2 linked regions of the Oryctolagus cuniculus genome follow. The protein of the gene in region 2 interacts with the protein of the main gene of each other region in a biochemical or structural test. Links are inferred from orthologs where the notes say so. Each region holds a gene or a part of one and is shown on either strand. Other genes may lie near its edges. The genes, in order: RRM2 and RRM1.

The links.
Region 1: the proteins of RRM1 (region 2) and RRM2 form a complex in vitro, tested with the Homo sapiens proteins (3 studies listed by BioGRID and IntAct). The link is inferred for Oryctolagus cuniculus from reciprocal best matches to the Homo sapiens genes RRM1 and RRM2.

What each region holds. Positions count from the first base shown.
Region 1 is NC_091433.1:192,177,409-192,180,202, forward strand, and holds part of RRM2 (ribonucleoside-diphosphate reductase subunit M2), read right to left. Parts: intron 792-2,794; coding exon 697-791; intron 595-696; coding exon 461-594; intron 1-460. UniProt on the Homo sapiens protein: Provides the precursors necessary for DNA synthesis. Catalyzes the biosynthesis of deoxyribonucleotides from the corresponding ribonucleotides. Inhibits Wnt signaling.
Region 2 is NC_091432.1:62,784,810-62,788,628, forward strand, and holds part of RRM1 (ribonucleoside-diphosphate reductase large subunit), read right to left. Parts: intron 3,607-3,819; coding exon 3,457-3,606; intron 2,868-3,456; coding exon 2,646-2,867; intron 426-2,645; coding exon 349-425; intron 1-348. UniProt on the Homo sapiens protein: Provides the precursors necessary for DNA synthesis. Catalyzes the biosynthesis of deoxyribonucleotides from the corresponding ribonucleotides.

The sequences.
Region 1 (2,794 bases), on a different chromosome or scaffold from region 2:
AGAGCAACACGCATGTATAAATATAGGGAACACATGTCAGCAAGTTAAAGGGCTTCATTTTTTGCTGAATATGTATGTGGACATGGGCCGGCACTGCCGTGCACGGGGTTAACCCGCTGGCTGCAACACCGGCATCCCATATGGGCACCAGCTTGTCCTGGCTGCTCCGCTTCTGCTCCAGTTCCTGCTAGTGCGCCTGGGAAGGCAGCAGCAGGTGCCTAAGTTCTGGGGCCCCTGCACTCACACGGGAGACCAGAGTTCTGAGTCCTGGTTTTGACCTGGCCCGGCCCCAGCAGACACCGGGAAGTTAAATCAGCAGATGGAAGACCTCTCTAACTCTGCCCTTCAAATAAGTAAATCTTAATAAACAGGAAATAAACAAACGTGGATATGGAGCCATGAGACCTGTGTGCCTCTCAGAACCGCAGGTGTTCAGGGTGCAGCCTGAGACTGGACTCACCTCATCCCTGCTAATAAGTTCATTGGAGAACGTAAGCCCGGGCATCAGTCCTCGTTTCTTGAGCCAGAAAATCGACGCAAAAGAACCAGAGAAGAAGATGCCTTCCACCGCAGCAAAGGCTACGACGCGTTCTCCTGTCCGAGAGTTTCCAGTGAGTCACGGCATTCCCAGGGAAACCCGCAGTGTCATTACCGGGAACACGCGCTCTGGTCTAAGGTGGCCACGGGCAAGCTTACCGTAGGTCGCCTCTTTGTCCCCAATCCAACGCAAGGCCCAATCCGCCTTCTTCTTGACACAAGGCATCGTCTCAATGGCATTAAAGAGAAATTCCCTAGGAGGCGTAGACAGCATCAGTATTTAGGTCAAAGACCTCCAATTCCCAAAACTTCTAACAGCACCGGATTGAAAGCCAAGTTCAACTATCTGTCAGCTCTCTCCCCAAAAGAACTCAGAGTGAACTGTTTTCTTTTCACTATTTAGCTTTTCCCTTGAATATTACTTTTAAAAAGAGTTGACAGGCAGAGTTATAGAGGAGAGATGGTAGAGGTTGAGATCGCCCATCCACCAGTTCACTCCCCAAATGGCTGCAATGGCCAGGACTGTGCCAGGCCAAAGCCTGGAGCCAGGAGCTTCTTCTGGGTCTCCCACGAGGGTGCAGGGACCCAAGTACCTGGGCCATCCTTCGCTGCTTTCCCAGGCCACAGCAGAGCTGGACTGGAGGTGGAGCAGTCAGGGCTTGAACCAACACCTATATGGGATCCCGGCACTGCAGGCCACAGCTTAACCGGCTGTGCCACAGCATTGGCCCCTGAATGATTACTTCTAAAAATCTCAATATTTGAGGGTCGGCACTGTGGCACAGCGGATTAATGCCCTGGCATGAAGCGAAGGCGTCCCATATGGGCGCCGGTTCTAGTCCCGGCTGCTCCTCTTCAGATCCAGCTCTCTGCTCTGGCCTGGGAAAGCAGTAGAAGATGGCCCAAGTCCTGGCTGGGCCCCTGCACTGTGTGGGAAACCTGGAAGAAGCTCCTGGCTTCAGATCAGCACAGCTCCGGCTGTTGCGGCCAATTGGGGAGTGAACCAGCGGATGGAAGATCTCTCTGCCGCTCCAATAAATAAATAAATCTTAAAAACAAAAAAACAAGCCAGTGCCGCGGCTCAATAGGCTAATCCTCCACCTAGCGGCGCCGACACACCGGGTTCTAGTCCCGGTTGGGGCACCGGATTCTGTCCCGGTTGCCCCCCTTCCAGGCCAGCTCTCTGCTATGGCCTGGGAGTGCAGTGGAGGATGGCCCAAAACTCCTTGGGCCCTGCACCCCATGGGAGACCAGAAGCACCTGGCTCCTGCCTTCGAATCAGCACAGCGCGCCGGCCGCGGCAGCCATTGGAGGGTGAACCAACGGCAAAAAGGAAGACCTTTCTGTCTCTCAGTGTCCACTCTGCCTGTAAAAAAAAAACTCAATATTTGGGGCCAGTGTTGTGGCAGAGCAGGCAAAGCCTTAGCCTGTGACACCAGCACCCATATGGGCATAGGCTTGAGTCTTGGCTGCTCCACTTCCAATCCAGCTCCCAGCTAATGTGCCTGGGGAAGCAGCAGCAGACCACCCAAGTGTTTGGGCCCCGGCACCCATGTTGGGAGACCTGGGAGAAGCTCCTGGCTTGGGTCTGGCCCAGTCCTAGCCATTGCAGATATTTGGGGAATGAACCAGCAGCTGAAGATCTCTTGTGGTCTCTCTGTAATCTTGCCTTTCAAATAAATCTTTTTTTTTTTTTTTTTTTTGACAGGCAGAGTGGACAGTGAGAGAGAGAGACAGAAAGGTCTTCCTTTGCCGTTGGTTCACCCTCCAATGGCCGCCGCGGCTGGCGCGCTGCGGCCGGCGCACCGCGCTGATCCAATGGCAGGAGCCAGGAGCCAGGTGCTTCTCCTGGTCTCCCATGGGGTGCAGGGCCCAAGCACCTGGGCCATCCTCCACTGCACTCCCGGGCCACAGCAGAGAGCTGGCCTGGAAGAGGGGCAACCGGGACAGAATCCGGCGCCCCGACCAGGACTAGAATCCGGGGTGCCGGCGCCGCTAGGCGGAGGATTAGCCTAGTGAGCCGCAGCGCCGGCCTCAAATAAATCTTAAAAAAAAAAAAAAAAGAAAAAAAAAAAAACCTCAACATTTGATTTAGGCTGATGAGGGCAACTTTAGATATTCTTCAGCTCATACTGAAGTCCAAGGCCAACACAACTATTCTATGCTGGGGCTTAACTGGCATAATTATTTCAAGTCAGATCAGTTCATGGGCCGACCTTTTCCAGTTCTTTGAAGAACCACAGTCTTCACTGCTCTG
Region 2 (3,819 bases):
ATAAGGCCTATGTGGCTAGGTAATAAATAAAATAATGAAAAACATTAAGAGATCAAGAATATTTGGAAAAATAAAGGTTTATTGAGGAAAAGAATTATCTAATCTAGACTTTAAGTCCCTAAAACAAGGTCAGCTGTTTTCACTATGGTAAGCAACTTGCAGATTACTATACAAAATCTTATGAAGTATTTTTCCAAAAATAGCTCTGAGGTAGGTCATTTGGTCCATTTGAAAGAGGAGGAGAAAAAATTAGTTTCAAAAGTTAAAATGTTAAGTCTATTTTCTGAAGAGCCAAAGGAGAACTCAAACCCTCCTGTCTTTGAAGCTACCTTAAATCTCTCTACTTACTTTGCAATCTTCTCCTTAAGAAGTTTCCAGTCCCAAAGATCTGTGGGAGTAACATTCCACATATCATACTGAAGAATCTAAGAAATAAAATGCCAAAATTTGTGACATCACTCTATGACAATTTAAAACAAGAACAAAACAAATGGCCCACTGTCATGTCATCCCAACATAGGCTTTCTTCTAGTCAATTTGTGTGAGGAATACAAAGTCCACAGATTTTCCTGGACAAACGTCCATGTGTTCATACTGATCAGAAACAGGCTTAAAAAAACTGGCTAAGGCCTTCTCTTCCACACATCTCTGCTGAATCTTCTCAGAGAACCCACATCATAGCTACAAACTAGGAAATCCCAATGTTCATGAATACTTGCTGCTGAGATGCATTCTCTCTTTTTACAGGAACAGTTCACTCTGACCTTATCTTTCTTCACTGCCTTACCCTGTCCCTTGATCTTTTTAACTCAGCTAAAATCACCTATTTACAAACACCACACATTTTATTTCTGAAGTATCAGCAGAACATCAGAGCTAAATGAACATTTTTATGTAGCAGGGAATCCTATTGATACTACTGATAATAAAGGTGGTATGGAGGGCAGAGTTCTAAGATTCAAACCCAGATACCTCCCCCTAGTACACTGGCCATGTACAACTCCCTCTACTTGAGTGTAGACATCTGGGAATATGATGAATGTTCAGGATTATAGAACAGGTAAAGAGTTTTTGCAATGTGCAATTAAGGTTGCAAATCAGTTCAGTTTGAGCTAAACAAAAAGAAAATTATCTAAGGTAGACCTGACTTAATAAAAGCACTCAGAAGGACTCTTTAGATTGTCTCTCCCCTTGGTCTTGAAGAAGCAAGATGCCATAGGTTTTAAAGCTACAAAATGAATTCTGCCAACAGCCAAATAAGTTTGAAAGAGCACCCTGAGCCATAGATGAGACCATAGCCCCTACCAAGATCTTCACCACAGCTTCATGAAACCCAAAGAAGACGGTCAGCTAAGCCAAGCCTGAACTACTGACACAGGGAAACTGTGAGATAATACATGTATGTTTTTATAATCCACTAAATTTAGCAATAAAAAACTAATGCAGGCAGCATTTTTCTTGTTATTTCTGCAGTGACCACTTCTAAATTTTAAAAAATTAAGAGTATCATTTTTACACCAAAGGATAAAGGTACAGAAGTTTCTCATGGCTGGTGGAACAAATTACCATATACTTTGGAGCTTAAAACAACCAAATGTAAAGGCCAGTGTTGGGGCATAAGTGGGTAATGCTGCTGCCTGCAACACAACCATCCCACTTCCCACCCATCTCCCTGCTAATGGCCTGGGAAAAGCAACAAAATGATGGCCCAAGTACTTGGGCCCGATACCCATGTGAGACACCAAAATGAAGCTCCTGGCTTCAACCTGGCCCAGCCCTGGCCATTGGGGTCACCTGGGGAGTAAACCAGCAGATGGAAGTGCGCTCTCTCTCTCTCTCTCTGACTTCCAAATAAATAAATATTTTTGTTTGTTTGATGGTTTTATTTATTTAAGATTTATTTTATTTGTTTGAAAGACAGAGTTACAGAGAGAGGTAGAGACAGAGAGAGAGGTCCTCCATCCGCTGGTTCACTCCCCAGATGGCCACAACGGCAGGAGCTGCACCAATCCAAAGCCAGGAGCCAGGAGATTCTTCCGGGTCTCCCACGTGGGTGCAGGGGCCCAAGGACCCAGGCCATCCCCTACTGCCATCCCAGGCCATAGCAGAGAGCTGGATCAGAAGAGGAGCAGCCGGGACCAGAACCAGTGCCCATATGGGATGCCAGCGCTTCAGACCAGGGCTTTAACCTGCTGCACACAGCACAGGCTCCAATAAATATTTTTTTTTAATTTTATTCTTTCATAGTTCTGGAGACTAGGAACTCAAAAACCTGTTGGGAGGGGCTACACTTCCTGCAGAGGCACTAGAGGAGGTTCTGTTCATTGCCTCTTCTAGTGTCCAGTGGCAATCAGCATTCCTGGGCTTGTGCCTGTATTACTTGGATTTCTCCCTCCACGTTCCTTCTCTTTTGTTTATGTCTCTCTTACAGGACAACTGTCAGTAGATTTAGAATCCACCTAGATAATTCAGGATGATCTCTTCATCTCAACATCTCAATTATATCTGCAGAGACCCTTTTTTGAACCACGTAAGTGACAATCACAGATTATAGGGACTAGGATGTGGATATATCCTTTGGGGAACTACCATTCAGATCACAATGGGTACTCACAAGTAAAAGGACATTTCATTCATATACTTACTCCTTTGCTTACTGGACAGCCCTCATAGGTTTCATATGGGCCATGCTCCTTGGCTAGGTCACAGCTGGCTTCCAAGGCTCCATAATAAATAGTTTCAAAGATTTGCTTATTCAACAATTGGGCCTCTGGACTCTCAAAAGGATATCTCATCAGAATAAAAGCATCTGCCAGACCTTGTACTCCAATTCCAATGGGACGATGGCGTTTATTTGATAAGCAGGCCTTTGTGCCAACAGATTTAAAGAAAAACAGAATATCTGTTAAATTATGGAAAAGAAAAGGCAACATTCTACACTAAAAACACATATTTCCCCCTACTTCGGTTTTCTCACACAACTCCAACGATAACCATTTAAATGACAATGCAGACCAGGATAAATTCCTTCCATCTTGGATTTCAAAAGTTATTAATAAACAGGCCGGCGCCGTGGCTCAATAGGCTAATCCTCCACCTTGCGGCGCCGGCACACCGGGTTCTAGTCCCGGTCAGGGCGCCGGATTCTGTCCCGGTTGCCCCTCTTCCAGGCCAGCTCTCTGCTATGGCCAGGGAGTGCAGTGGAGGATGGCCCAGGTGCTTGGGCCCTGCACCCCATGGGAGACCAGGAAAAGCACCTGGCTCCTGGCTCCTGCCATCGGATCAGCGCGGTGCGCCGGCTGCAGCGGCGGCCATTGGAGGGTGAACCAACGGCAAAGGAAGACCTTTCTCTCTGTCTCTCTCTCTCACTGTCCACTCTGCCTGTCAAAAATAAAAATAATAATAATAATAAAAAAAAAAAAAAAGTTATTAATAAACAGAGAAATCTATTCATACCTCTGGGACAGGATAGTAATTTATATCAATAATTTTATTCAAGTTTCGGACAATAACTTTAGTAACTTCAGCCAACTTCTTAAAGTCATATGTGTGCTCTGGTGTGACGTACATATTCAAGGCCAGGGAAGCCAAGTTACAAACCGCAACCTGGAATGCAAAGGGAAAGCGTCAGGAATCGTAAGTTTGATTTCTTTCTTTCTCTCTCTCTTTCTTTTTTTTCTTTTTTTTTGGTAAAGATTTATTTGAAAGGCAGAGTTACAGAAAAAGAGGGAGAAATAGAGGGAGAATATCCATCTGTTTGTTCAGCATTATTATTCAGGTGTCCTAAGTGGGTGCAGGGACCCAAGGGCTTGGGCTATT